Regions from separate parts of the Mus musculus genome. Here all the other regions are reported to be linked to region 5. The links are microRNA targets in miRTarBase. Many come from high-throughput screens and were not tested one by one. Region 5 holds a microRNA gene; each other region holds the end of a gene's coding sequence. Distances are between the middles of the regions.

The links. Region 5 holds the annotated microRNA mmu-miR-665-3p (ACCAGGAGGCUGAGGUCCCU, at 1,371-1,390, opposite strand). A microRNA usually pairs through its seed, bases 2 to 8, with sites in the 3' UTR of a target mRNA and lowers its output. Matches are read on the target gene's strand: a 7mer-m8 pairs with bases 2 to 8, a 7mer-A1 pairs with bases 2 to 7 and ends in A, and an 8mer does both.
Region 1: miRTarBase lists Isg20l2 as a target of mmu-miR-665-3p. Seed matches in the 3' UTR shown: 7mer-A1 at 1,796-1,802.
Region 2: the mRNA of Nrcam is a reported target of mmu-miR-665-3p. Seed matches in the 3' UTR shown: 7mer-A1 at 3,362-3,368.
Region 3: miRTarBase lists Tfcp2 as a target of mmu-miR-665-3p. Seed matches in the 3' UTR shown: 7mer-A1 at 3,140-3,146.
Region 4: the mRNA of Tceanc is a reported target of mmu-miR-665-3p. Seed matches in the 3' UTR shown: 7mer-A1 at 4,149-4,155.
Region 6: miRTarBase lists Slc39a1 as a target of mmu-miR-665-3p. Seed matches in the 3' UTR shown: 7mer-A1 at 1,355-1,361.

Annotation. Positions count from the first base shown.
Region 1 is chr3:87,938,334-87,943,407 of GRCm38, forward strand. Isg20l2 (interferon stimulated exonuclease gene 20-like 2) reads left to right here. Exons shown (of 4, transcript NM_177663.4): 3 at 241-441; 4 at 905-2,353. The coding sequence ends at 1,018. Among named protein-coding and RNA genes, the nearest start is that of Crabp2, 7.8 kb to the right of the region's middle.
Region 2 is chr12:44,597,671-44,602,744 of GRCm38, forward strand. It overlaps Nrcam (neuronal cell adhesion molecule), which reads left to right. Exons shown (of 31, transcript NM_176930.4): 31 at 680-4,176. The coding sequence ends at 917. Among named protein-coding and RNA genes, the nearest start is that of Nrcam, 270 kb to the left of the region's middle.
Region 3 is chr15:100,499,882-100,504,955 of GRCm38, forward strand. Tfcp2 (transcription factor CP2) reads right to left here. Exons shown (of 16, transcript NM_033476.3): 16 at 2,867-4,562. The coding sequence ends at 4,525. Among named protein-coding and RNA genes, the nearest start is that of Csrnp2, 7.2 kb to the left of the region's middle.
Region 4 is chrX:166,498,005-166,503,078 of GRCm38, forward strand. Tceanc (transcription elongation factor A (SII) N-terminal and central domain containing) reads right to left here. Exons shown (of 5, transcript NM_001007577.2): 5 at 1,808-5,074. The coding sequence ends at 4,314. Among named protein-coding and RNA genes, the nearest start is that of Tceanc, 9.9 kb to the right of the region's middle.
Region 5 is chr12:109,582,684-109,587,757 of GRCm38, reverse strand. Mir665 (microRNA 665) reads right to left here and starts at 1,444; the gene lies at 1,351-1,444. It overlaps Mir337 (microRNA 337), which reads right to left and starts at 1,969; the gene lies at 1,873-1,969. Mir3544 (microRNA 3544) reads left to right here and starts at 1,885; the gene lies at 1,885-1,945. It overlaps Mir540 (microRNA 540), which reads right to left and starts at 1,678; the gene lies at 1,612-1,678. It also overlaps a transcript of Rtl1 not described here.
Region 6 is chr3:90,251,562-90,256,635 of GRCm38, forward strand. Slc39a1 (solute carrier family 39 (zinc transporter), member 1) reads left to right here. Exons shown (of 4, transcript NM_013901.2): 4 at 125-2,051. The coding sequence ends at 781. Crtc2 (CREB regulated transcription coactivator 2) reads left to right here and starts at 2,297. Exons shown (of 14, transcript NM_028881.3): 1 at 2,297-2,997. The coding sequence starts at 2,845.

The DNA.
Region 1 (5,074 bases), not on the chromosome of region 5:
CTAAACATGTAAGGGACCTCTGGTGATGTAGATCCAAACAGGATTGCATAGCAGTTCTCTAGGGAAGGGAGAGCTGGAGTTCTGAAGGAGGAACAGTTGTGGAAGGGGGCATTTCAAGAATGGGGTGAGGGTGGAGGTGATGGGGTGGTATGTTGGTGATGGCCATATTGGGCCTTCACAATCTAAGGAGCTCCACCTTTGAGTATGGCTTCTCATTACCTCCTTATGTGCCCATTCTAGATCTTGAAGATACTCTCAGGGAAGGTAGTGATAGGGCATGCCATTCACAATGACTACAAAGCCCTACAGTACTTTCATCCCAAGTCCCTCACCAGAGACACTTCCCGGATACCACTCCTCAACCGGAAGGCTGACTGCCCAGAAAATGTCACTTTGTCACTGAAGCATCTCACCAAGAAGCTCCTGAGTCGGGACATCCAGGTAACTTCTCTCTAAGTGCCCCCACCAAAGGTGACCCGGTAGCCCTGTCTGCAAGGAGAAATAATAAATCCTGGGTGCTTTATAGACCGTGCCAGATGGTACAGTGGGAAAGAAGAGCACTCAGCATTTCACATGCTCAGCAGTCAAGGACATGGCCACAGAATATGGAGCTCTGGGTACATGTCACACAGAGAACATTTAAGAAAGAAGACCCAGACAGTCTGTTTGACCTGAAATGTCCTGCCTCTGCAGAGCTTAATAGTAAGATACATATGCATCGTCACTCAAATGAGCAGGCCTTCTGGGAGTTGAAACTGAAATGTGCTAGGGAGGAGGGCCCTAGTAGACTTGTGACTACAACTCATAAACTATAGAAGAGAAAGTATAGACAACTAGCGGGATGCAGGGAGTCCAGTTGTCTGGGAAAAGCAACAGTTCTCGTCTTCATGTTCTTTTCCTTTAGGTTGGAAATACTGGACATTCCTCGGTGGAAGATGCCCAGGCCACAATGGAGCTGTACAAGTTGGTTGAAGTTGAATGGGAACAGCACCTGGCCCAGAATCCTCCAGAAAATTAGCAATCCCAGGGAGACACATGCAGTAGACCAACCCACAGTTCTTCCAGCTTCTCACCTGCAGAAGCTAGAATCACTGGGGAGAGGGGCTTGGCCAGAGGCTTAATACCCATTGAAATTTCATCTCAGCTATTTTGGTCACTGTGTGGTTAAGTGTCTCATGGAAGAGGAGAGCTTTCATGTTAAACCCACCTCTAGGTCAGGCAGGTGGCTCAGACCTGTAATCCCAGATACTTGGGAGGCTGAAACAGGTTATAGATGTAAAGTCTGCCTGGACTACAGAATTAATTCTAGGTCAGTGAGACCCTGTCCTAACATAAAAAGAGGGCCAGGGGTAAAGCCCAGCGCTAGAACACTTACCTAGCATGCATAAACCACTAGGTACAGTCTCCAGCAGTGGGGTGGGGGAGGGTAGAAGGAATGGAATACAAAGTCATGAACCATAACTGTTTACTTCTTTAGAGTGCTAACCACATGTCACAGGGTGCTTGTGCCAGTCAGCCTTGACTTTGAGGAAGCAAGGCACACCAGGGAAAACAGTGTCCCACACTACCTTCTCTATGGGACACATGTCATAGATATGTCTCCTTTTGGTGGGGAGTAGGGTAAAGGAATTGAGTTGCCAGGGCTGGCCTCAAACACTTGGGCTCAGATGACTTCTTCCTCAGGCCCGAGAGTAGCTGGGACTACAGGTGTGTGTTCACCACTGTGCCTAGTTCTTTTATTTTTTTTATTTTTTTTGGTTTTTCGAGACAGGGTTTCTCTGTATGGCCCTGGCTGTCCTGGAACTCACTCTGTAGACCACGCTGGCCTCAAACTCAGAAATCCCCCTGCCTCTGCCTCCCGAGTGCTGGGATCAAAGGTGTTGCGCCACCACGCCCAGCATGGTTCTTTTAATTTTATGGGATTTTTTGTTCTAAAGTAAATAGCAGTATCTTTTCACTTTCAGACAAGTCCTGATTGGAGCTCAGCATAATGGTCTGTAATCTCAGGACTCTGGAGGCCAAGGCAGGGAGATCAAAAGTTTAAGACCAATCTGAGTGCATAGAAAAAGCTCTGGGTCAGAGAAGTAGAAACAGAGAAGGAAAGAATTTTGTGGTTGCTTGCTGAATTTTATAGCCACGTTACATAGCACTGACTAACAGTGTTTACTTAATTTAGGTTCCACTTAGTTTAAAAAGAATTTGTATAGTTTTAATCGTCTTTCAGCCTTTTCAGCCTTTCACCTTGCAAATGCAGCCTCTTAGTTCATACGATTCTTTTTATGGATTTTTATAATAGAAAACTGGTGGGTTTGTTTTTTGTTTTTTTTTACATATAAAGATCTATTTTTATTTTACTTATGTGTATGTGTGTGCTTTCAGGGTCCAGGAGAGGGGTCAGATCCTGCAGAACTAAAGCTTCAGGCCGTTGTGAGTCTGGGAAGTGGGTGCTGGCGGGGAGGCGGAGATCCTCTAGGAGGAGCCACCTCTCCAGCTCACGTAGTGGATTCTTTATGGCTTTGTATTAAATAAGATCTCTTCGTGTGGAAGGCTGTGTAGTCCTGTGGGGATTTCTAGGCTCTCTGGATGGGTCACTGGAGCCCTTGTTTGCTGGATGATTTGAAGCTCTGGTAAGCCTTTGTCACACATAGGGCCTTAGCTTTCCTGTCACACTTGAAGTGACACCCTAAGCCGCGCAGGGTAATGTGGTGGAGTGAGTCCATGTACATAAGGGAGGAAGGGAGCTTGGTGACGCAGCCTGCCAGCTCTTCCTTAGTGGTACACACCGTTGTTTCCTGAAGGTGAGTCACGGGTCTGCAGCATGGTTGTCCCTACTCTGTGGAGCCGTGTCCCTGTCCCTTCACGATTTCATTTTATCATTTACTTCTTGGAGTTTTAATACCAGATCCTGAGTTCTACCCTTGGTTTATATGGGTGGTAATTGATTATGGGGGTGAGGGTGGCTGTGGTAAGACTGCCATCTCCGTGAGAGCTTCACTGTGCCCTGCCCTATACTGAGCCCTTGAGCTGCACTGTGTCACTCAAAGCTGGTTGGGATTTTTTTTGCCTCTATGTATAACTGCACTACTTGTGTGCCTGGTGCCCATGGAGGCCATTGGGGTGTATCAGATCCCCTGGAACTGGGTTTACAGACAGTTGTAAGATCTCACATGGGTACAGGGAATCAAACCCAGGTCTCTTGCAAAAGCAGCCAGTGCTCTTAACCACCGGGCCATTTCTCCATCCCCTCAAGGCAGTATTCTAACTTAACAGTTGAGGAGATTGAGGTTAACCGAAAGGCAAGGTGTCTCTCCCAGGCCAAGGATGTAGAGGTTGCATTGGCACTCAGGTTTGGTGAGTAGGCCTGAAGTCCCTGCCTTGCTGTTAGCATCTGAGTAGTATCTGGCAGAATATGGGCACTACACCCAGCGTCTGTTCTGTACTGGGTGGTGTGTTAGATACTGGAAATGGAAATCTTTGGCCCTGAAGAAGAAAAGCTAAGAAACCTCACTGAGCCACACATTTGCTGTCTAGAGCCAAGATTTAATGCTGGTTAATAAGATGAGCAGGTGTGTATTTTTGAAAGACAATGCTGTCTGCTGTAGGGAATCTGCATTGGGGAATGGCCAAGAGGTGAGCCATCTGTGGAGTGGGAGGAGAATGTGAGTATCAGAGTAGGTGACATTAGCAGGATCAGGAGGTTGGGACAAGAGAGGGATAGATGTGTTGAATACTTCAACAAAGCCCAGGGGAGGATTCACCAACAAAGGGTTTGAGAAAGGTAAGGTGGGTAGTTTCTGGCTTCCTGAGCAACTGGATAGCCAGCTGGGTAGTTGAGACAAGTTTAGCAGATGGAAAGAGACCTGAGCCTAGAACTAAGGTTTTTAGTCAACATTGCAAGGCTGGGTTTTGGAGGCTCATATCTGTAATCTTGGCTCTCGTGAGGTAGAGATAGGAAGATCATAAGGTTTGGGGTTTTGAAGTGGTCTCACTATGGAGTCTCGGTGAGTTGAAGGCCAGCTTGGTCTACAGAGTGAGTTCCAGGGCAGCCAAAGCAATGAAGAGAGACCTTGTCTCTAACAAAACACCCACCATCAACCTCTGGCCTCCACATGTGTGCACAGGCACATATGTGTGCACTATGAACACGTAGGCACACATACACAAATTGAATGGGCCCCACATACCTTCAGTGCTCCAGAGTGAGACTCTAGGGTAGACATAGATCAGAAGACTTGTGCATGCATAATGTTAGCCTGAGTAAGAGGTTTCTCAGTCCAGGGCCTGGGATCCTAGCCCAACATTTCTGAGTAGCAAGCTGCACAATAATCTCTGCCAGAGCAGCTAGTTCCCCAAAGGCCGTGCCCTATGATTACACCCTATGGAATCCTGCTCAGTTAAGTGTCTTAGTTTGGGTTACTACTGCTATGATGAAACCACAGCCAAGAGCAAATTGGGGGAAGAAAAGGGTTCATTTGGTTTATGCTTCACACTTACTGTCCATCCCTGAAGGGAATTAGGCTGGGAACTCAAACAGCAGGAACCTGGAGGCAGAAGCTAATATAGAGACTGGAGAGATGCTGTTTACTGGCTTGCTCTGCCTTCTTTCTTTTTTTTTTTTTTTTTTTTTTTTTGGTTTTTCTGTATAGCCCTGGCTGTCCTGGAACTCACTTTGTAGACCAGGCTGGCCTTGAACTCAGAAATCCACCTGCTTCTGCCTCCTGAGTGCTGGGATTAAAGGTATGTGCCACCATGCCCGGCTTTCTGCCTTCTTTCTTATGGAACCCAGGACCACCAGCCTAGGGATGGCATAATCACAATGGGCTGGGCCTGCCTACAGCCCAATCATACAGAGCCGTTTTCTCACTTGAGATTCTTCTCAGATAATACTAGTCTGTGTCAAGTTGACATAGAATTAGCCTGCACAGTTGGTTACTTATTTGTAAAGAGTCTATTGGTGGCGCACACCTTTAATCCCAGCACCTAGGAAGCAGAGGCAGGTGGATTTCTGAGTTCGAGGCCAGCCTGGTCTACAAAGTGAGTTCCAGGACAGCCAGGGCTAAACAGAGAAACCCTG
Region 2 (5,074 bases), 65 Mb from region 5:
CTCTTCAGGAAAAAAAAATAATAATAGTGTGACCTCCCAGTGTAAGGACTGTGCTTTTCTTCTTAGGCTGTTCTCATTTGTTTCCTCTGCCTCCTTTTAATGGATTTCTAGGTCTTTTGAAAGGTAAGGCAGAAGTTCACAAATCTGGCCTGCATTCAGTAACAAAATTATTCAAACTGCAAGATTTTGCTTCTCCTACTGCGTGAGGAAAAACAATCCATGTATCACATGTAACCACAATCATGCTCCATTCACATCCAAGGAATCAGAGAAATCACACAGTTTAACACACTAACTCTGACTGTCCTGAGCTCTGCACTGCTCCTTTGAATCGAGATAGTGTTGATTTGAGCTATCCTTAACCCCCTGCCATGCCCCGGTAATGCTTTTCATCTTTCCAAATTGCCTTCCAATCAGGCATCAGACTCTTTCATTTAAATTAGCATGTACAATCAGAAAGTCACCTGCTCTGCTGCAGACATGATCCAACCACTTCTGCGCCTGACTTCCATTCCAGTACCACCCTAGTCCCTGGAGTCCAACTGGCAGTTAGTTATCTTTGGCTGCAGGAGCTCAGGCCTCCATATGCTTTTTCATAATTTGCATGCATGATCTGCAAAAAACAAGGCGCTTTACTTAAATGCTTGTCTTACCAAAATTTTTATTTCCTGTCCCCCAGTGATGCAGAAGATCACAAGCCTTTGAAAAAAGGAAGTCGAACACCTTCAGACAGGACTGTGAAAAAAGAAGATAGCGATGATAGTCTGGTTGACTATGGAGAGGGGGTGAACGGCCAATTCAACGAGGATGGCTCCTTTATTGGCCAATACAGTGGTAAGAAAGAGAAAGAGCCAGCAGAGGGAAATGAAAGCTCAGAGGCCCCTTCTCCTGTCAACGCAATGAACTCCTTTGTTTAAGTCTTTAAGCTCTGTGCCAATGTCTAATCTCTCTGGAATGGTTTTCCTGAACACCTGTCATCCCTCTCATACTACGGACATATGGGTAGAAAGAATGTTTTCTGCGGTATATGAGTATTATGAGACCAGAGCAAGAACATGACTCAGTCAAATGATACATTAATATGAACTGGGGTGCAAAGTGCATACGTTTTTGTTCAGAGTGGGGTTTTTCTCAATTTCCTTGGAACTGATTAAAAAGAAATACAACATCATCAATAGATTACATTATTCCCTGTGCGGGATCCAGTTCAATACGATGCATGAGACATGCTGCACAGAGGACACACCTGTGTATGTGACTGCGATGTGGTTGGGTACTTTGTTGGCACTATCCTCAGCTGATCCCTAAATATGAATTCCGTTGTCATTGTGAAGAGTGTTGCTGTAGTGTTCTCTAGAGCTTCAATGTCTCTGTGGACATTGTTGTTAAACTCGTGACTATGTCTAGCTGGTGTTAGTCTTTTTGAGAGACTATTAGGAACAGTGTGTACAGTATATACTTGCTACATGAGTTACTTATGACAGTTGCATCCACTAATGCTCGCTGAGACTCTGAAACCTGTTCTTTGCTCCCGGACCTTCCTAGGCTTTTTATCCTTCCGGGTGTCACAGCAGCAGAGTCCCACTTACTATACTATCTGCGTTCAGTCCTTTGGGGGGCATAAACATTGCGTATTGTGACACCTGCTGGCATTTGTGCCCTACTCAAAGAATTGAAGTCAAAGCTCTCAAGTGAAATTTTAAATTTTAGTTCAGAAAATGCAGGGCAAGACACACGCAGTGCCTTCAGACAATTAGCATTCCCTGACTCCTGTACTCTGTATCAGCCAGTGTGGGCAACTTCATCCTACGCTACTGTTGTTGGAAAGGAACTTTTCCAAGGCAGAGATAATTCGAACTGAAACTGGGAGCATAGGAACAACTTTATTTGAAGTGGTGTTCCCCACACAAATATCAGGCCTCCAAAGCTCTGTCATTGTCGGGTGTACAGGATGGTTTTGTTGTCTTTTGTGGTTTCTAGCCAAACAAGTCAAGTTGAAAAAAGGAAAAAATGGTATGGTTGGAAATGGATAGAAAACCCAATGATTGCAGAAGTAAAAGCGTACAACAGCATGCCTAAAGTACTAAATGATTCACTCTGCCTAGACAAGCTTTCAAATTCCGCAGCATTCAGCAACGTGTATGCAAATTGCAACAGGCACACTCCAGAACCTGAGAAACCTGACCAGTGCTTAATTAGGCCAGCAGTCAAAGAGATTACACCTCGAGTCTAAAGAACAATACTATATCCTATCATAGCCATAAACAATGTGTGTGAAATGGCTTACCTCCAATATAGAAACCTATGACCACCTATGGTTGAAGGGATGCTCAGTTTCATTTGCCAATAAATTGGTTTCTCATAACTTGCATCAAGTTTAATTTTAAGTAAAGCCTTTTATATGTAGGTATTCTGTTGAATTTGTAAATATACTTAGAGTGTAGAAGCTATATGCTCATAGGTATTACGTGCAAATAAACATGCAATCAATGTTTATGTTCTCCTGTGTGAGAAGCAGGCTAGTTGATGAATGTAGTAAGTATGTGGGACGAGGAAACATCCAAATGTCTTTCGTGGTGTTTCGGATTTAATTTTTTTCCCCACTCTATTTTTGTTTGTGAAACTGAAATAGTGAACTCCGTGCCCCCCACCCCTTTCTTCAGCCTGTTGCTGGCTGAAAGCCTCAGTGTTTTGCCAATGGAGTACATTAGGGTTTGCCACCTGACACCTTTGATGTGTACAGGTAAAGCTTGTTTTAAAGTGATTCCCCAAATGAAGTGGCCCTAAATACTCTCATCTTTTCATATTCACTCTCCACAAACTAGCCTATCGATTGAAAATACAAAATAACACACAGGCTTGCCTCAACATAACAAAGCACAAAGACAAAAGTTCCTTTCAAGTCATCAATGCCTTCAGTGAAAGACAAATGTGAAGTCTCTGCTCATCTATAACTATGGATGCTAAATTTCTCTGTGCATGAAGAAGTCACGCCTGTAGATAACTACAGATTTTCTATTAAAAATGAAAAATTGAGTGTGGTTTTAAAGCCCCCCCCCCCACTCCTTGTACTTAGTCATGTTCCTGGGGGGGGGGGTGGGGGGAGGGTGGGTGTGTAGCAGGTGTACCCGGCAGCACAATGCTTCTGGACTTCCATCTGAAAAGGGACTGGTAAACAGCCCAGCTCTCCTCAGTTTCAGCTTCTTCAAACCTGTACTTCCAAAGATTTTTGAACAAATTCTGACAATTTTGTTTCGTTTTTAAAAGACTTTGGATTTTATCGCCAACGTAAAAATAAGAATTAGAATCAGGAATTATTTTTTTTTTTCCGAGACAGGGTTTCTCTGTGTAGTCTTGGCTGTCCTGGAACTCATTCTGCAGACCAGGCTGGCCTGGAACTCAGAAATCTGCCTGCCTCTGCCTCCCAAGTGCTGGGAAAGGCGTGAGCCACCACCGCCCGGTGAAATCAGGAACTTTTAAATCAAAGGTTAGGGCTAGTTACGCAGGAATAGATAGCAAGAGTCCTTTGAAAACAGGTGAACAAATCTGGTTCCTTTGTCGAGTCTCACAATAGACCAACTGCTGGTGCCCTGTCCATACAACCAGTGGGACCTCCTCGCTACTCAGCCATGGTCAATTTATATTTCTTAACATGGCTACATGATGAGAGTTTGAACACTCATACATATTACAAATATGTCATCTGCTTCCTTTTCTCCACCTTCATTCTTCTGTCTCCATCCAAGCCTAGCAATTATCCACATTCCACCACTTGCCCCTTGGTCACTGACCCCTGGTCCCAGCAGTGCATCCAGGAGAACTACCTGCCTTGTGCTCTCAGAGTTATTTAGACAGCATGCTATGAAAGTGAATCGGAGATGCCATAGAGAGAGAGCTCAGAATTCCTCTCACAGAGGACATGTTGGCTGCTTTCTCGGACCCTCCCTTCTGTCCTCACTGTGGGCCAAATTAACAAACCTTAGCCTCACTCTACATCATGACACGGCTCCGTGGCAACAGGAACTTTGAAACTTTAAGCATGACCTCAGAAAAAATCTTGTAGTTATAAACCTTTATAAACCATCTTCTTCATTGGGTTTTAAGGACTTTCGAGGTAAGGGGAGTCTAAGAACTCAGGGATTTTCAGTCACAAAATGAGTCACTTCCGCTTGAGATGTTTCCGCAGCTGACCACCAGAGGGCGCCTGTGCTTTATCCTGCGTCGAAGAAACTTGCTAGAGAAAGCAGGCTAATGACCCTGGCTGGATCGGTTTTGGATAATTAAATGATGACCCGATGGTGCAGAAAATGATCGCCTGTTCGTACTAGGGAAATGAGATTGCAGCTCTCCCCAGCGACTGCATGACTGTGTGAACCTTTTGCATAGTTTTTTCTCTTGATTGAGCCTAGGTGTGTCAGGGAAGAGTTGCCTCCAGTCCAGTGGCCATGTTTGTCAGGTATAGGTGCGTGTGTGTGTGTGTGTGTGTGTGTGTGTGTGTGTGTGTGAGAGAGAGAGAGAGAGAGAGAGAGAGAGGATAAAGGAAGGGAGTCCTTAAAATGGCCTCACTTCCTTTCTTTAATGATGCTATTTTTGTCTGCCACCAGTGGTTTGACATTTTATTATTGACTAGAACACACACAAAAGTAGTTTAAATACTACCCTCAGCTCATATGATTCCACTTAGGAGACGGGGAGAGAAAAGCAGAGAATATCACTGCAGTATTTGTACTGAATAGTGGCTCAGTGGGGTGGAAAGATCAGTGTAAGAGAGAAGAAGGATTCATATTCCAACCCCACCATCAGTCAGCAGTGTGTGTGCAGGAACGCCTCCTCTCGTCATTCACTCCACATCTGTCTCCTCAGTCAGACAATGATGGGGCAGATCGTGTCTAATATGCCTTTCTAGTTTAATCCTGTGTGTCCTAGTAACAAAACAAAAACAAAACAAAACAATCCGAGCGCTTGCTAGGGACAAACACAAGCCAGGTTTGAGTCCCGCTGTGTGGGGCCTGGAGCCTCGTGTTTCAAGACAGCTATAATCAGTCAGCTTCCTGCATGGGTGCAAGTCCTCACT
Region 3 (5,074 bases), not on the chromosome of region 5:
GTGGTTGGAATATTCTTGGTCCAGGGAGTGACCCTATTAGGGGGTGTGGCCTTGTTGGAGTAAGTGTGTCACTGTAGGTGTGGGCTTTAAGACCCTTGTCCTAGCTGCCTGCAAGCCAATGTTCTTTAGCAGCCTTCAGATGAAGATGTAGAACTCTCAGCTCCTCCTGCACCATGCCTGCCTGAACACTGCCATGGTCTCCCCCCCCACCGCCCCGCCCCCAATGATAATGGACTGAACCTCTGAACCTGTAAGCCAGCCCCAACTAAATGTTGTCCTTATAAGAGTTGCCTTGGTCATGGTGTCTGTTCTTGGCAGTAAAACCCAAACTAAGATAGAAGTTGGTACTAGGAATCTCATTTCAAGAAAAAGAGAGAGAGAGAGAGAGAGAACACTAAATCAAATAGGATAGAATTATCATTTTTCTGAAAGCTCTAAATTCTCCCTATTCTGCTTGTCATATAGCCTCTTATGAATGGGAATGTTAAACTATTTAATATAAATATAAATCATTGGTCACAAAAGCATAAAATCCCATCGGCTTTTGTTGTTTTGTTTTGTTTTTTGAAGCAGGGTCTCCCTGGGGCAAAGGATGGCCTCCAAAAGTGGCTGTATTCTTCTACCTTCTATTTCTACCTTCTACTGAACTTCTCTCACCCTCCTACCTCCAAGTGCTAGGATTACAGGCATGCCTGCCTGAATTCATGTGGTGCTCAGGATTGAGCCCAGAGGTGACAGGATTTCCCATTTCATGTCCAGCCATCGTCACATCTTGCTTCTAGAATATTTGAGTATTCTGTGCAAAAGCATAGAAAGGAAATCTTTCCAAATGAGTTTAACTTAACATTCTGAGGGGGAAAGGGATATGCGTGCACATACCACACGCACATACCACATACATACCACACGCAGAAACAGACACAGTTTATTTAGAAGGAAAAAGGGCTGAGATGACAGATGCTTGGGAGCACAGAACCTACTTTACAAAACAATAATGTAGAATGAGTATAGAAAGATGCTCAAAATATGTTAAATACTACGACAAAATCATGTACTATTATAATTACTGAGACTTACGTATGTGCATAAATATGTTGAAGAAATTTTTCTTCTTATTATTTTTTTAATTTTGAAAGAGGGTCTCTGTGGCAGTTTGAATGAGAATGGTCTTCATGGGTTTGTATGTTTGATGTTTGGTCCCCAGTTGGTGAACACTTTGGGAAAGATTAGGACCTTGTTACAGGACCTGTGTCACTAGGGGTGGGCTGAGGTTTCAAAAACCCATAGTATTTCCAGTTAGTGTGCTCTAGCTTGCCCCTCTTTCTCTGCTTCCCACTCTCAACTATGGCTCCAACCCCATGTCTGCCTGCCTCCTGCTACATGCTCTCTGACATGACAATCATGGACGCTAATCCTCTGGAATCGTGAGCCTCTAAATTAAAGACTTTCTTTTATAAGTTGTCTTGCTCATGGTGTTTTCTCATGGCAATGAAAAAAAACAAAAAGCAAAATTAAGAGTCTCTATCACGCAGGCTCCTGCCTCGATTTCCTGAATGTTGAGAATGTGGGATTAAGTCCCCCAATCAATGACCACCTCTTTAAGACTAAAGAGAAAAAAAAGTTATATCCTTTATTATTTATATGTGATAATTTTAAATGTTATCTTCACAATGTCAATTTAACTTTTTCATTTAACTGAAAAGGTCAATAATGAAACATTTTGTAAATAATCACAATGTCCTGTCACTAAGATAACAGTCATAGTAAACACCTAGAAAGGGGGACTCAAATAAAGCCTAGGGGAAGTTTCTGGTGACTCTAAAGATCTGAGTCAGGTGTAATTAACCCTAGGATTTGGGCAGAAGAGACAGAAAGGTCAATGCAAGTTCCAGGCCATCCCAGTCTACTATTGGAAGCTCAGGCTAGCCTAGCCTTTAAAACAAAAAAAAAAAAAAAAGCCAGGCAGTGGTGGCACATGCTTTTAATCCCAGCACTCAAGAGGCAGAGGCAGGTGGATCTATGAGTTCAAGGTGAGTCTGGCCTACAAATCACGTTCCAGGGTAGCCAGGAAACCCTATTTCAAACAACAACAACAAAACCAAACAAAATCTAAAACTATAATGGTATATAAATTCACTTCTGTGATTTTGAAGGCTACTCTAATAAAAAGTAATTTCAGGTAAAAATTAGGACATCTAGGTTTTTTAACTTTTTACTCTTTTATGTGTATGGGTGTATATCTATATACCACATGTGCCTGGTCCCCTTGGGGATAGGAGACAGGATCAGGTCCCCTAGAACTGGAGTTATAGATGACTGTGAGCCACCATGTGGGTGCTGGGAGTTGAACCCAGGTCCTCTTAACCACTGAGCCATCTCTCTGGCCCCCTAAGTCATGTAATTTATAGCCAATATACTAATAGAATTATATGCATCATTTGTGCCTCAGAGATTCATGTATTTGGAAGCAAGTCCAAGTCTAGGCATGGTGTCGATATCTTTCCTCTCTGCACGTGTGAGGCTGAGGCGTGAGTTCAGAACCAGCCTGAGCTGTGTAACAAGTGCTAAGCCAGCCAGAGTAGGAGGTCTCACAACACAGGCTGCCTTCCTAGTTTACCTCTCCCATTTGCCACTGGGACAGGGGAAGGGGACGGCAGCCAACAGTGACTTGCCAAGGATAGAGGCAGCAACTGCAATGACTGGGAACCAGTCCTTGGAACGTGACGAAACTAGAAATGTCACCTCAAAATGGGATGTTGGGTGAGGGAGTGCTCGGCCTAATATGTCAAGCTGATTTTGCACCACTGTGAGGAATTTTCAGGTTTCAAGGTTTTAAACTTGTTTCAGACCAAAAGAAATTAGAAACCACATTACAGGTTGGTTTTAATGGACAACAGCAACAAGAACCAAAAACTCTCTATAAAAAAATCTAAGCTTTATTAAATACTTCAAAAACACACATAAATTCAAATTTAATACAGAATCTTTAACATTATCTTTGTTCATCTCAACAAAATTTAAGGGAATTTCTGGTAAAACTTTACATGTGGCCTGACTAAGCTAGTGGCACACACCTATATTCCCAGCACTTGGAAGGTGGATTTCTGAGTTTGAGGCCAGCCTGGTCTACAGAGTGAGTTCCAGGACAGCCGGGGCTCCACAGAGAAACGTTTTCTTGGAAAACCAAGCTAAAACAAACTTCATGTGAAAAAGGAGGGCCTAAGTGCTTTACAATTCTGTACATGCACACAGACACACAGCCATTTGAAAGGCAGAACATAAACACAGTGTGAGTTTGAATAGGAAAAGAATGTATTTTTCTTTTTTTAATAAAGCTTACATTTTAAAAAAAGAACAAAAAAAAAAAAAAAAACACCACACTATGCCAAAACAAGACAGGGGAGGGGAGAGCAGGGCGGAATAGCTCATTTACTTAAACAGTTTTGAGAATATCATTCACGAACAACGAAGCCTGGGGTCAGACACGCTTGTCTCTCTCACCTCTAGCTCTGGGCTGAGGTTAGTGTGACATTGGGTGTCTGTCTGTCTGGGGCTTCATTATCGCTACAGTGGTAAGGTATGGTTGCCTCCTTCAGTGGGAAGTCCGTCAGTTTCCAGCAGAGCCCCAGAAAGACCCAGTGGTGAGCACTGGCAGCAAAGGGTGGCATCTGGTGTTGTCAGAAGCCCCTCCACTTCATCTGCGTCTCCTCACCCTCAAGTCACTGTGTCCCCAGATGTTTTGGGTTTATTAAGGGGATAAAAGAAGATTATCCGTCCGTGGGATTTATCATTCGGTCTACCCCAATACACATTAGCCAAAATCACACTCAGCTGTGGTATTGCAGGTGAACCAAATTAGAAATCTGGAGCCTGTCTTAGCACTAAAGGGAAGGCCTGCTGGAGCTCAGCTGGAGAAAGTGCCTGCCTAGCACGTGAGGCTCCGAGTTCAAGCCCAGCACTGCAGACAGAAACAGACCAGGTGGCAAAAGCTTGTGATCCCAGCTCTTGGGAGGTAGAGGCAAGAACATGAAACCCTGTCTCAAAAAAGGGAAGGAGAGATTCTGTTTCTCCTCCTCACAGTTGTGAACAGAGCAGAGCAGAGCTGCCAACAGGCTTGAGGCAAGAGAGAGAGCTTGGTTTTATGAAGACAGATGTTCACTTTTATATCAGTAAAATGTCAGAGCTCTATATCACAAAACTAAACATCTTCCTAGAAAACATCACATGACTCCCATTACCACTCTGCCCTCTACAAACCCTAATGACGGGGCTTCTTACTGGTATCAACAGGGGCCAGAAAGTAAGGAAACTGCTGGCTCCATGTATAGCCAGTGATCAGAGGAGCCAATACAGGACTCTGGGATTCCTCCTTGGGACCTGCTCGCCCTGCACTGGACACGCCTCCCCCCTCCCCCCAACATTCAGATGTGCCAGGTTCCTGAAGCCCTTTAATCTCCAGTCATGTCCCCTTCAGAAGGTGAAGAGGGGAAGGCAGCAGCAGCCGTCGAAGGTCGGGGCCTCACCCTACTTGAGAATGACATGATAGCTGTCACTGGTTTCTGCTGGAGAGATGGAGAGAGAGACGTGATCTTTAGCCTCCTGTAGAGCAGCAAAGGGCAAAACTATCTTGTGAGAGGGAATAAAAAGTCAAACTGAGCCAGGCAAATGGCAGACATCTTTTTTCCCAACAGGGTCTATAGCCTTGGCTGTCCTAGGACTGGCTATGGAGATGATGCTACTTCCCTGCCTCCTCTTCCTGTGTGCTGGAATTAAGCAAATTGGCTTTCAATATTGTCACCTTATACTGGGTCTTACTAGGGGACCTCACCGTAAATTGAACAGCTACAGAAACAACTCTGATTTCCTCACTTGCTAAGGGGAGGCGTAAGAAAATGGCAGAGCTGTCAGAAGTATTTTCCCCTGATAACAGCAAGAAGACACTTTACAAAGAACAGTGTCCACTGAGGACACGTCCCTATCTCAACACAAGGAGGGAAGACGTATTCCTGGGAATAATGCGCCTGCCTTTAATCCAAGCACTTGGGAGGCTGAGTTATTAGTTTGCTAGTCTGAA
Region 4 (5,074 bases), not on the chromosome of region 5:
GGAAGAGACAGAGCCACGATTGTACTCAAGCCTTCACTTTAAAAAGTTGTACGAACAAAGGAGGAAACCTTCCCACATTCAGCTATTAAAATGGATTTCCCACCCTATGCCGTTACCATGGAGACTGGGGTACAGGCTATATGTATTTAGTGCTCACATTCTGCACTGTTATTTATCTGATGATTGGCCACAGGGAGGAAATTTTGGATTGGGCATATTCTATGAAACAGACATTTGCAAAACTGCAAAGGGGTCCATTAACCATCAGGATGCAGCCAAAGTATATTTTTCCTTTTTTTATTTCTCTCTCTCTCTCTCTCTCTCTCTCTCTCTCTCGAGACAGGATTTCTCTGTGTAGCCCTGGCTGTCCTGGAACTCATTCTGTAGACCAGGCTGGCCTCGAACTCAGAAATCCGCCTGCCTCTGCCTCCTGAGTGCTGGGATTAAAGGCATGCACCACCACCGCCTGGCTTATTTTTTTCTATACTTTAATTTGACCATTGTTAATGGTCACTTATTTGGTGTTCCTGCATCCATCCTTGTTTCTCTCATCACTCAACAAAGCAGCTACAATGGTCTTCCTAAAAGGCACTCAAATCCCATGACTACAAATCACCTAAGTTCAATAATTTTTTTTAAACACAAACCACCCTAGACCCCCAAAGCCTCCAAGTCCTTATTGTTATCATGACTTACAATGGACCTCAGGAACTCTGTGGAGTCCTTTACATCATGTCTCATTCACATCAGCTGTTCCTTATTAGCAGGCACCTTCCCGGAATCTTGGAGTCCTCAGAATTGCTCTTTGCTCCTATAAGGGCCATTTTAAATTAGAATCTGCCCCATCAGCAATTGTAAAAAACAAAAACAAAAACAAAAAAAAACAAAAAACAAAACAAAACAAAACTCCTTTGGCTGGGCAATGATGGCATACAGCTTTAATCCTAGCACTTGGGAGGCAGAGCCAGAGAGATCTCTGAGATTGAGGCTAGCCTGCTTCATTTACAGAGTGAGTTCCAGGAAACCAGGACTATATAGAGAAACCCTGCAACAACAACAAAAAGAAGAAGAGGAGAGGGGGAGGGGAAGGGGGAGGGGGGAGAGGGAGGGGGGAGAGAGGGGGAGTGGGAGAGAAAGGGGGAGAGAGAGAGGGAGAGGGAGAGAGGGGGAGAGAGGGAGAGAGGGAGGGAGAGGGAGGGGGAGAGAGGGAGGAGGAGAGGAGAGGGAGAGAGAGAGGGAGAGGAAGAGGGAGAGAGAGAGAGAGGGAGAGGAAAGGGAGAGAGAGAAGGAGAGGAGAGGGAGAGGAGAGGGAGAGAGAGAGGGAGAGAAAGAGGGAGAGAGGGAGGGAGAGGAGAGGGAGAGAAAGAGGGAGAGAGGGGGGAGAGAGAGAGGGAGAGGAGAGGGAGAGAGAGAAGGAGAGGGAGAGGAGAGGGAGAGAGAGAGGGAGAGAGAGGGGGAGAGAGAGGGAGAGAGGGAGAGGAGAGGGAGGGGGAGAGAGGGGGAGAGGAGAGGGAGAGAAAGAGGGAGAGGAGAGGGAGAGGAGAGGGAGAGTAGAGGAGAAGAAAAGAGAAACTATTTTCTCTCTTTTAGGGAATAAAAGAGTGAGGGGGAAACTTCTTTCTCTTTTTAGGGGATAAGACACAGTGTAAAATCATTGTCTATATTTAGAAAATGTAACTGTCTCACTGACCAAAAGAATGAAACCTACATCACCATTTCCCTATCTCTTGTTGCAAAACTAACTGACAGAGCTTATGGGAAATAAGGAAGATCTCATACAATTAAAAAAATATTGGAGAATAAGAGATTTTTACATTTCAAATACTTTTATTTTTGGTAAATGTAGCTTACAAAATCGCAATATAAAAAACAATACATAGTTACATAGAAAATCCAAACATCAAACTGATTTAGACAAATGAAACAAGGTTTTTATAGGCTGTGTGTGCTGCTCTTGCACAACCACTGTCTAGGTTTTAAGATCATTCCAAGTCACATGAAACCACATTTTGGGAAAGCTTTGAGTTGTTGATGACTCTGTAAGTCACTCTGTAAAGGACTAACACATTGCACCATGGTGAACCACCCTGGAATGCCATATGGAGAAAATATAACAAAATATAACTCAGACTTGACAGCTTCAAGTTGATTTCTTCAAAAAACCTAAAACAGAAATGTTTGCTAGTTTTATGCAACTATTGGGGAACTGTCATACGGAGGTAAAAATATAAAGAAAAGCCTACAGATCCCAATGAAGGAATACTGGGGAGTTAGGGGATAATAACTAGTTAAAATATGAGTTCATATGGAACTAAGATAAAAACTCTTTAATATGATAAAATCAATGAATGGTGGCTTACACTGCCAATCATAGCACTCTGGAGGTTAAGGCCAGCCAGTGTGAGTTTGAACCCAGCTTAGGCAACAGAGTGAAGCTAGTCTTATAAAAATAGAAACTCTTCACATATTGTTGTCAAACAACAAAAGAGAAAATGTATATCTAATCACCTGATTAACTGTAAAAGGAGCACATATATGCAAGGTTTTGTGTTGATTATGTATAAAATTGTTTTACATGGTAAAAAAAAATCAAAACCCAGAAAGACAATCATTTTATTATTTTTAAGGAAAAAAATTAGTCATGGTCACATAAAAAGGCTTGTGAATAAGCATACAAATCAGTAAACACTGTTTACAAAGAACTAGGAGACGTGATTTTCTCTTCAGTTAGTATGTAAGTAAATGCTGAGATTGAAGGAGAGACTTCCTCTAACAACTAGTGCCATTTTCACATGATCAGAATTTGAATTTCAATCCCAACACACATGCCTCTGAAGGTATATAGAGTCCTAACATTAAGGAACTATATATCATACTTTTTGAAGTGCTCAAAAAAAAAAAAAAAAACAAAACACAGGGCATTCAACTAAGGAAGCAGGCTTCGAGCCAAATTCTAACTTACACTGCAACTTTTCACCAGTCAAAAGAAAATGAGAAAATTAAGGACAAAAGAGTAAAACTCCGGTCACATAAGCTTAGAGGTCCCAAACACTATTTGCTTAGCACCTATTTCCAAGAGTATACTTCTTACAAAGTCAATATTAAGTCATCCTCAGACTGAATATTTTTGAGTTTGGCAGTGTTTCTCTATCTAACTCAGGCTGCCCTCAACTATGGGATTCTGCCTTAGCATTCCCAACGCTATGATTACAGGCTTGAAACAGGATTCCCTTTTAACAGTTTTGAGACAGGAACTTTGCAAGTCAAACTGGCCGGAACTCACATAAATCCCCTGCCTCATTCTCCCTAGTATTTGGACCACAGGCATGTGCCATCACACCTGCTTGAGAAGTAAGCTGGAAAACCTGGGATCAGTGTGAAGCCGACTACATACAGTTGTGTAACCTGGGCAAGTGGGCTGCTTTCCTCATCTGTAAACTCCAGAATAACATTAATTTCTTCAGAACTATAGAAAGGCTCAAATGAGAGACTATCTACAGGTAGTTCCTAACTCTAACTGCAACTTAACAGGAACCAAGAAATGACCAGAGCAGTGTTGATTACTGGGTCCAGGCCATAGGTTCATATTGAACTGTATAGGCTTGGCCCTTGGCACCAGTACATTTCAATGTTCTCCAGAAAATTCTAATATATAGTCATTCCTGAGAACTTCAGGCCTAATGCTATGTATGTCAGTGATTCTCAAAATACCCCAGAGGATAACCTGGGGACTCTGTTAAAATGCAGATCAGGACTTAAGGAGCAAGAGTTTCATCTCTAACATGCTCTCAGGTAGTGTGGAGCTACAGTGCCACTCTGAGTAAAGCACTAAGTGGCCACAAAGTAGTGTGATAGCTTTCTATGGCCTACACTCTGGCAAATAACTCTCTTTCCTTAGTCTTAGGGTTGTAGTAAGAGCAGTATATAAAGCCAGGTGCGCCTATAATGCAAGCACTCATGAGACTGGGCCACCTTTGGCTATATAATGACATCTTTCATGAACTAAAACCCAAAGGCAAAAATAAGATTAAGATTTTGTTAAAAAAAAAAAAAAAGAGCACAAGCCGGGCAGTGGTGGCGGACACCTTTAGTCCCAGCACTTGGGAGGCAGAAGCAGGTGGATTTCTCAGTTCGAGGCCAGCCTGGTCTCCAGGACAGCCAGGGCTAAACAGAGAAACCCTGTCTCGAAGGAAAACAAAAAAAGAAAAGAAAAAAAAAACAAACTAAAAACAAAACAACAACAACCAAAAACCAAGCACAAAAGGTTAGGTTATACATATAAAACATATGCCCTTAAAAGGATTATTTACAAATCACAAGCATACCCAGTTGTTATGGTACCACTGCTCCCCACATTCATTACAAATGACATAGGTCATTTGTTCATCTGGGTTTGAATTCTGCACCCAACTTGGAAGGAAAAGTGTTCCTCTGGCAATCACAGTGACCTTGCAGTTGTATTTATCACAGCGCCTACACTTAATTTTATTTGTCCATGTGCCATCAACTGATTGGGGAAGGCAATGTTCTTGAATGCTGGATTCTGTGTAGGAAGCTCTCAGTTGCTTGAGTTCCTGGCTTGCCATGTCCAAGACACTCATTTCAGCAAACTCCCTTGCAGACATGGTTCCAGAGAGGAAGTTTTGTTGTAAATGAAAATTTCTGGGGTTTTTCAAATTGGCAACTTTGCTTCGAATACTAGTTTTATATTTTTTGATATTGTTTGAATGAAGGGTAAAAATGTGCTCTTCAATTTCTCTTGCTAAGTTCTGCCATATGTGCACTTCTGTGTGATCTGTGCAAGAACTAGCTAATGCTGTGTAAAGAAGTTCTACGCACTTAGATCTCACAGACACTAAAGTACCTTGAAACACACCTGAGCTCTTGCGAGTGCATTCAGAGTCATCACCCTTCAAATATCCTTCATTAATTTCCATTTGAGCAGTGCTACTTTCAGATCCAATTGCTGCAGCAGGCTTTGCAGCATCTTGGGGTAACAGCCTAGAGAGAGAACTGCAGAGACCCATGATCTCACTATGGCTAGAGCCTGAGGTTTCATCCTGGCTTACATCCT
Region 5 (5,074 bases):
GCAGAGATGACTTAGGTCAGGACTACTGCCAGGGGCCCCAAGGCCCTGAGGGCCCCAAGCAAGTGAGAGTGAAGGAGAACTCAGTGAGCCAGCAGCCCGCCAAGAGGCTGCCAGTGATGTTGACTGCAGAGGTGCGTTTACCCACAGCCCGCACGAACACAGACCATAAAGGACAATAAAGGCCCGCAGGCCTACCAATCTACCCAGCAGGGATTTGTCCCCATTAACAGCAAAAGGAGGTGGTCCGGACTGTGAAGAGAGCTGGTGACGTGCTAAAACGTGCTAAAACGGTAGGTTATCAGGTTATCGGCGGAGCCACTTATAGAGATTGAAAAACACAACACAAACCTTTTTTTTTCTCCTGGGGAAGAGAAAAGAAAAGAAAGAAATTGGTGTGAAAGTTCCTGCTAGGGGATGATAACATCACTTCCAACCCTGTCAAGGTGAAAACCAGAGGCCAGGCCCTGGCTGCAGACTCCACCCACCAAGGAGCTGCCCCCACTTCCCAGCTTCAGTCCCCAACCAGAGAGCTCTGACAGCATCCAGGAACAAAGAGGAGCAGGGGCCCTCCCTTGCCCACCTTCCCTGTCCTCTCCATTGCTTCCCCTTATAAGATGTCCCTGCAGGTACCAGAGCCAGTGACAGCACACACACAGGACCCTGAGTCCAGAGTTTTACCAGCTCCTCACCAGGCTGGAGCAGAGATCTCCACATGCCTGGGTAACCTGGGCTAACTTGGGCTACCCCCATAGTAAGAAAAGGAAAAGAAAATATTACCCACCCCTCAACTGTCCCATACACCTTAAGCCCTGGTGCTGGGCCCAGGGGACCACATCGTTAGACACGATCTGAGACCTGAGCAGCAAACCTCATCTGGACTTTGATCCACCTGTGTGAGCTGAGAGACACGCATGACCATCTTGCCACCAAGACCGTGCAGGAGCACAAGTAGGAAGAAGGAGATTGGGGGCAGAGGGGGGGACAGGGAAGGGAGAGACAGTGGTGAAGGGGAGGGGGACTGGGTGTGGCCTGGGTCCTCCCTGTCCTGCCCTCAAATCCTTTCACAGCTTCCAGGCTATTCACTCAGGGTGCTCCTGTGTGCCGGGGCTGGCTGCCATAGCTGGTAAATGCAGTTAATAATGGTGGTGTTGTGGGGATGGAGATGGGCCCTGTATGCATGCAATGACCTAGGTATTGGGGTTCAGACTCTACGCCAGCTGCTCATTGTGCTACTGAAGTGTCTGTGGGCACCCGGCCTGGGAGGAGGATGAACAGGGATCTTCTGCACTCCTTAGGGGATCCAGAGTTTGAACTGAATGAGGTGAGACGTCTCCAGAAGGGCTCAAGGAGAGAGTAAGAGGCCGCCTGTAAGGGACCTCAGCCTCCTGGTCATAAAAACATAATCCTGGATAGAGGCAGAGGCCCCTCAAGGAGACCCTGTTCTGGGAGCACTGGTAATGCTCAGCCCTGCCCTGTCTCAGCCCTGTGCCCTGCTCTAGTAACAAAGACCCCATCTCTCAAGGATCCACCCTTTCTGCTAGGAGCTGGGTCCCCTCAGAGGACCTCCAGGAGAGAACGGCTCCTGGAATCCCAGTGGGAGGAGCCCCAGAGTAGGCCCAGGATCGACCTCTGACCTGTCTACCCTTGGCCACAGAGTCAGAGGGTGACCCTTGGCCCAGCCCCAGGGAATGTCCCACCAGGGGTATAGCTCCCCCGCCAAGGAATGATCTCAGGTATGGCCCAGCCCCGGGTATTCCCCTCCAGGAACTGTGGAGAATGGCGAGAAAGCATGCCAGGGGAAAAGAGCGAGCTGAAGACGCGTCCCTAAGCGGCCCAAGGTGCGCGGAGGAGGGTCCGGAGGCCTCACGCGGTTGAAGGGGGTGAAGAAAGGCATCATATAGGAGCTGAATGGCTGTGCAATCAACTCCTGCATGACGCCGTTCCCACCCCCCAACTTCTCACTACACTGGGACCCTCCTCTCCTGAAAAAGCAAGGCAAGAAGCACAGACAACAGGTAGGACAGACTCCCAGGGCTTAGTGTTAGAGGAAGGAAACCAAAGGCCAGCCAGCCCTAGGGCACCTGCAGCACAGTGGAAGCATCTACCCTCCTTGCCCAACCTCACTTCTTATAAACTCTCATGGAGTGACTGGAGCCAATCCAGGGGATGAGGAGGGGGGAGAGGGAGCAGAGGGATGGGAGGGAGAGAGGAGGGGCAAGGGAGCACTGAAGGAGGGGTGGGGAAGCGGAGAGGGAAGGAAGGGTGACTGTGGTCACAGGAGTGTCCTGCTAAGGTCCATCCCGAGTATCCAGTGGGTTCCTCTGCAGACCTAGAAGGGACTCATGGGAACCAGCAGGAGCTTAGACGCCCCAGATGGATCCCCCAAAAAGATGCATGGGTTAAAAGCTACTCAGTGTGGTGAGGGGACAAACTGCAGGTACAGCTAACAACCGCTCCCCAGGTTCTTTGAGTGTCAACTTGAGTTACACTCCTCCATGAATAACTAAAAACCACAAACTGCTTTTGCTTGCCTGTTAGTTTTTTTGTTTGTTTGTTTGTTTTTGAAACAGGATCTGTGTAATCCAGAGTGGATCCCGACTTCTCCATCTTCCTGCCTCAGGCTTCCAAGTGTGGCTATGATTGACAGGCCTCTGTCACCATGGCCAGCTTGAATGGCACATGTGTATCACCTTACATATGAATAAAGTAAAAAAAAAAAATCTTTCCTGACTTGTGCTCTTCTCTTCCTTGTCTGGCACACCCACCAACTGCCAACAAACACTTGTCCCAGCATAGTCTCAGAGAGCAGGGTATAAAGAGGTAGTATGGGGGTGGGAGGGAGTAGTAAGGATGGGAGGCCAGAAGACAGGTGAACACAGGTGGGGAAGGGAGGACTCGGTGTTAAGCCAGGGAGGAAGGGAGCTGCACACGACATGTGAATGACAAAGGGTTAAGGCAGCTCAATGCTGTGGTAAGATGCTGCAGATGTCAGTGGGGCAGGGGAGAGAGAGAAGGGGGGCTCAGGGCAGCATGTGGAACACAGCTGCACATCATCCAGGGCAGAAGAGGGTTGCAAAGGGACATGTATGTGTATGGGAGCATAGGGACATGGCTCACGGGAAGCAGGAGGGTCTCAGGGTGACGTATGTCACAAGGGAGAGATGAAGGATATGATATCCCACGCAAAGAGGGGGTCTTCATGTCATAAAGAAAAGAACAGGGACATCCCATGATGCCTACCTACACAGGGGGGTGTCAGTAACATATGGAGAGATTAAGGGATTAAATCTAGCGGATGGGGAGTGGTCCAAGGCTATACATGGGGGAGAGAATCCATGGTACAGGGGAGAAAAAATGTAAATGTGATGTGCAGAGGAGGGGTAACATGACACATAAAAAGAGGAGGGGCTCAGTATGACTCTTGTACAGGAGAGCCTATGACTCCTGAGAAAGAGACTGGGCTGCATGTGGGACATAAGGAGGAGGGGCTCTGATAGAGGAAATAGGGGCTCGGTGTGACATCTGTCAAGGAAAGTGTTCATCACAAGTGGGGAGAAGGACTAGATGTGACACCTATGAGTTGCTTTGTGACCTGGAGGACATGCACGTCACAGTGTGGTATGTGTAGAGGCAGAGCGCTCCATGTCACAAGGCAAGGGGTGGATGTCTCAACGTGCTGCGTGCAGAGGTGGGGCTTCCCAACATGAAGAGAGAGCGAGAGGAGAAGAGTTCCGTGTACCGCATCTGGAGCACCAGCAGGGTTTGTGGTGACTAAAAGGAACGAGGGCTATGGGACACATGATTTAGGGGCCCTCTCACGATGGAGGAGCTCAGAGTCAGGGAGGGGCCTAAGGTGAATGGGGAGTAAGTGGGATGAAGCTCGGGTGCACAGGGCACACGGGTGGGGCTAGGCTAAGCATGACACACGTGGGGAGAGGTGTTCTCTCTCTAGGACACATGGGTAGAACTCAGGTGACCACGACAGGTGTGAGAGGGGGCATACAGAACGTAGGAAGGGTTAGGCTAAGCATGACACATGTAGAGGAATGGTGCTCTTCAGGACATATGGGTGGAGCTAGGCAAAGCGTGCCCCATTATGGAATTTTCTCTTTAAGACACATGGCTGACAATAGCCTAACCCTAACACAGGATGACAAGAGGAGAGGACTCAGTGTGAGGCCAGCAATAAGACATAAGAAATGTTAACACATGAACACAGAGGGTCTTGGAAGTGCAGCCTGATGGGAGGGGTCTGTCCAAGACAAAGCAGGTGTAGTGGGAAACCATGTAAAGATAGGGAAGAGAAACTTACTCTGACCCAGGTAGGGGAGTGGAGCTGAATGTGATACCCGTGGAGAGATGAGACGCAGTGTGACTCAGGACCCTTGTTGTGATTCATGGGTGGTGGGAGGGGCTCTGTGTGTGACATAGGTGTAGAAAGTTTTGACATGTAATGGGGTCTAGATGAGAAACACTTGGAAAAGAGACACAAATGTCTTGTGCGAGGGTAGAGAGCTCATAACTCTGAGTGCCACTGTTGAAAAGGGACTTAGCCTAACACAAAGGAGAATTGAGGAACTGTGGGACACACGGCCAAGGAAAGACTTAGGATAGCACAGTGAGGACCAGTTTGATACCTAGGTGGCATGACCCCATGTGATGAACAGAAGGAGAACGGTTCTGTGAGAAAGGTGTGACAGGTGACCGAGGGGAGTCTGTGTGAGAGGAAAGGGGTTCAGTGTGTCACAGGAAAAGAGCATGTGAGGCAGGAGTAGAGAGACACAAGGAGGCAAGACTCCAGGTGTCAGGAGAGGTGGATTGTGCTCATGGTAAGAAGCATGGAGAATCTTTTCTGTTTGAGGCACATAGGCTGGAGCATGGTATGACAAATGGGGATGAGAGGTTCAAAGTGACACAGGGGAGGACACACAGGAAGGTAGTGCTTCATGTGGCACATGGGTACAAAAGGGGCTCGGCATGACACACGCATGGGTGTGACACCTGGTGGCAGAGGGGGAATTGGTGTGAAACACAAAAGGGGAGGGGACTATGCAATTCACAAGCATGAGGTCAA
Region 6 (5,074 bases), not on the chromosome of region 5:
TCATGGTGTGACCACAGGGGGCTTGTCTGTGTGGGACGTCAGATGTGTATAACAGAGCCTCTACCAGGCTTTGCATCTGATTTCTTCTGATTTCCTGAACTCTTGTTGCCACCTCTGTTCACAGCTTCAGTTCCCCTTGCAAGAGTTCATCTTGGCCATGGGTTTCTTCCTGGTCCTGGTGATGGAGCAGATCACGCTGGCTTACAAGGAACAGACCAGTCCACCCCACCCGGAAGAGACAAGGGCTCTACTGGGCACAGTGAATGGTGGGCCTCAGCACTGGCACGATGGACCAGGGATCCCCCAGGCCGGCGGAACTCCAGCAGCTCCCTCAGCCCTGCGTGCTTGTGTCCTGGTCTTCTCCTTAGCCTTGCACTCAGTATTTGAGGGCCTGGCTGTAGGGTTGCAGCGAGACAGGGCTCGGGCAATGGAGCTGTGCCTAGCTCTGCTGCTTCACAAAGGCATTCTGGCAGTCAGCCTGTCCCTGCGGCTGCTACAGAGCCACCTACGTGTGCAGGTGGTGGCTGGCTGCGGGATCCTCTTCTCATGTATGACACCTCTGGGCATCGGGTTGGGTGCAGCTCTGGCAGAGTCAGCTGGGCCTCTGCACCAGCTGGCCCAATCTGTTCTAGAGGGCATGGCAGCTGGCACCTTCCTCTATATCACCTTCCTGGAAATTCTACCCCAGGAACTGGCCACTTCTGAGCAGAGGATCCTCAAGGTCATTCTGCTCCTAGCAGGCTTTGCCCTGCTCACTGGCCTTCTCTTTGTCCAAATCTAAGGTGCTTCAAGAGAAAGGGCAGGGGAGGTTGGCTATCAGGTGCCCCTGTCCTCCCTCCCTACCCTTCTCAATTGGTGGGAAATAGAAAGAAGTGGAGAAGGGAAGTAGTGAGGACCAAAGAGTTCTCTTAGATATAGGGATGGGACATTTGGACTATGAATAATGAGATGGAAGTGGGCAGAGAAGAGGCTAGCCCCAGACCCAAAGAATAAGAGATAGCGAAGTTACTACAGACGTGGTCAGGGACATTAGAAGGAGGCAGACTGCTACAGTCAGAGGCCAGGCAGTACATCTCAGAGACAAGCTGACAGAAGAACTGAGAGTTAGGCATCCAGCCTCTTTGCGATAAAGATACAGAGGCTGTAAGTCAAAGCCAGTATCCTGTTGGTTCTAGCCCATCTCACCACTCTGATGGCTGAAATGGTTCCTCCTCCTTTCTTCCCTCCTACTCTTATATTTCTCTCTTGTCTTCCACTAAGGGACTAGTGCCAAATGGTCTCTCTGCCAGTTTTCGTAATTTATCTGGCCTCTCCTGTCCTCACCTTTTTGGGTTGCTCTGTGTAGCCTTGGCTGTCCTGGAACTCACTCTTGTAAACCAGGCTGGGCTTGAGTTTACAGAGCTCCACCTGTCTCTGCCTCTGCCTCCTTAATGCTGGGACTAAAGGGGTGCCATGCCACCACTGCCTAGCTCACTAGTCTGTTGTTAAAGTGCCAAATACCCACCCACCCACCCTTTAGGTTTGTTTGCTTTTTTTTTTTTTTTTTTTTTTTTTTTTTTTTGACAGGGTTTCTCTGTATAACCCTGGTTGTCCTGGCCTCAAACTCAGAGCTCAGTCTGCCTCTGCCTCCTGAGCACTGGGATTAAAGGTGTGTAGCACATGTATTGCTCACCTGCCCCCTTTTTGAAAGCACAGTGCTGAGGTGCTGGGGCCTGCCTAGCACCTCAGTGGAGACCTATTTGCTCTTTTATTTAGGCCCCATAGTTTGGGGTGGGGAAGAAATATTTGCTGAACTGGTCTGGAGTGAGAGAAAAGTAGGTACTGACACCAGACACTACAGAAAGTGGACATGGTGGTCCATACCTAGAAAAAAACCAATAACCTGCCAAAACTTTATATCTGAGGAGTCCGGGGTGGAGGGAGACAGACTCCCTCCCCCAGGATTATTTTTGGGGAGGGAGGGCTGTGCATAGGTCTGTACTCTGTAGAATCTATTTTACTAACTGACCTGTTTTGGGATATGTTACCCAAATAAAAGATGTTTCTATACACTTCTATGGTATCTGATTCTGTGTGTGTGTGTGTGTGTGTGTGTGTGTGTGTGTGTGAGAGAGAGAGAGAGAGAAGAGATGGTCTGTGTGTGTGTGTGTGTGTGAGAGAGAGAGAGAGAGAGAGATGGTCTGTGTGTGTGTGTGTGTGTGTGTGTGTGTGTGTGTGTGTGTGAGAGAGAGAGAGAGAGATGGCCAGTCGTGTGTGTGTATGTGTGATGGCCAGTCGTGTGTGTGTGTGTGTGTGTGTGTGTGTGTGTGTGTGATGGCCAGTCGTAGAGGATATGAATCTCAGTTGCATACAGTTGATTTAAGATCCTTGTTTTCACTCACCCCACTTCTCACCTTTCCTGAGGATGACCAAATTTCTCTTTTTTCTCTTCCTTTCTGTCTCCACCCCTTCCCTTCCTCGTTTTTTCTTCAGCTTCCTTGGGGAATCCCTCTCCCTTTCCCGTTCGTAGGCTCGGGACTGTTGTAGAACTACCTTTCCCGGCTTGCTGTGCGCCGGGAGTAGGTGAGGGGTGGCGTGCGTGCCTGCCTCCCGGGGTCACACGACTGCTGGGAAGTGATGTCCGCTTCCTGCCCTCCCTGCGTGTCTGAGGGCGTAGAGGAAGCCCGTAAACAAACTACAAGTCCCAGAAGGCGGTGCGTCCGGAGTCTGGAGTAGGCTGGGGCCGAGCCGCCGGGCTCGCGGAGGCGGCGGCGGCTGCTGCTAAGGCTGAAGGAGCCGGGCCGGGCCCGCGGCAGAGGCCGTGGCTGGAACTGGGAAGGTGGCGGGGACGGACGCGGGGGTAAGATGGCGACGTCAGGGGCGAACGGGCCGGGTTCCGCCACAGCCTCAGCGTCCAATCCACGCAAGTTTAGTGAGAAGATTGCGCTGCAGAAGCAGCGTCAGGCCGAGGAGACGGCGGCCTTCGAGGAGGTGATGATGGACATCGGCTCCACACGGGTAAGGGGTCATGCCTGGGAGCCCGATCACTGAGGAGCGGGTCCCGGAGCGGAGAGGCGGGGCGGGGGCGGGAGCCGCAGGGCAGGAGGCGGAACACTGCTGGGACAGCGGGCGCCGCCGTCTGGGTGGCGTGGGGTGAGGGCCCAGGGTCAGTTAGATGAATTTTGCCGGGAAGAGGTGAACACACTGGAGAAGTCGTGGGAGTAGTAAAGACTGGGTTGGAGTTATTTACATATGAAACAGGGGTCGCAGGAGGAGATGGACCGCCGAAAGTCCATCGGCAGGGGAATGGCCCTTGTCTATCCCCAGCCGAGTCCTTTCAGGTACTCCACCGAAGCATCCTCAATCTTGGATTATGTGTTGGGAGCATAGTTTGTTTTATCCCTAATCTGACCCTTTCTGAATCTGTGATCACAGTGCCTGTGCTCTTATGGGACAACTAGGTTCCAAGGGGAAAGGGCCCCTCGAGTGGTTTGATCGGGCTGTGCTGGGTATATTGGGACAGGAAGTCCCCTCCTGTGTCCCTTCCCTTTGCTTCCTTTTTCAAATATTTCGTGTGGTTTCCTGACTTGAGTCAAGGTGAAGACCATTGCGCACAGTATGGGTCTTGGTGTATGGCTCTGGGCGACTGTGAGGAAAGGTAGAGCTTTGAATCGCCTAATTGGGCTAAAGAATCACCCTTTCCTTTGACTGGGGATGTGCTGAACTCTCTAGGCAGGTGGTGCTACCTGTGGCTCAGTGTCTGGAATGCTTTCTAGAGTCCTGTATGTGTGGGAAATACTCCTTCCTAGGAAGTTACACAAAGAAGCATCGGGCCTCAGACAAGTTGTTTTTGGAAGCACACCCCTGACCCCTGCCTTGGTTTCTTGCTTCCCAGGGCAGGTTGTGAGGGAATTAGGGTAAACACTCAAGAGTTTGCAGGTAAGCAGCCCCAACTTAGGGACACAATTATTTTTAAAACAGCAGGTGAGGGATATTGCAGTATCTTTCATAATAAAGAGCTTGAAGGAAACTAAGGGGAGATGATGGAGCATAAATACCATATTTCAAAGCTCTTTAGTTCTATATATGACTGACTGACTGTATTTATGTGTGTATCTCCCTCTACTCTTTGAGTCCTGTGTGTGTTTCCCCTTTGATTTTTCTAGAGACCACATGTTCTAGTTTATGAGAGTTCAAGATAGATAAATAGAGATGCAAATCTGGTGTGTGTGTGTGTGTGTGTGTGTGTGTGTGTGTGTGTGTGTTTATAACCTCCTCTTAACCACCATGAGGATTATGAACTATTGACTGCTCCCTTTAAGAGCTTTTGATTATGGTGGGGGTAGAGTTAAGAAGATGGGAGAGAGGTTTATTTCCAGTGGAGAGCTTGAGGCTCTGTACTGTGGACCAGAGCGAGTGTGTGCACGTGAGGAACGAGAGGCTGGGCCGTCTGTCTGTGTGGTGCTTTCGTAGCGCTTTCCTACCTAGTTTTCTCTTGCCGATTAACTTCTCTGCGGCATGGCAAAATGGAGTGACCATACATGGCCAGAGCCTAGATATACAAGGATCTTGAGTTTGGCGTGAAAGGCTTGCCTTGCTACCTACCTGGCTGACTGGGAGGGTGTGCTAGAGGCAGAGACGGCCATGGTGGCATAGACCTCTGAGGACTTGGAGTCTATTCATTAAGCCCAGAGATGAGCATCACTACCCACTGGCATCACCGAGCTGATCTGGAGTAGAAGACTGGTTCTGATCAGTTCTGAGCATCAGAGTTTACCCTTCCTCGAGTACTTTCCTCCTTCCCGTGCCCGTATCCCAGCTCTGTTTGGCTGCGAGCTGTGTCTGAGCCTTGGCAGTAGTTACGTATGTCTCATACAGAGGTCCATGTGACATAGAGAGAGGCTAACACTATGGCCAACGGAGGGTTCTTTTGTCTCACTTCCTTAGCAGACATCTCTACAAACTGGCAGGAGATGGCCCTGCCCGAAGTTGGAATAGGCTACTGTGCCCTCTCCCTCCTCTACCAGTTCAGTCTTCTTAGCATCCAGTACAAGAATACTTGGGTTGCTTACCTTTCTTTTAGCAGAACCGTCAT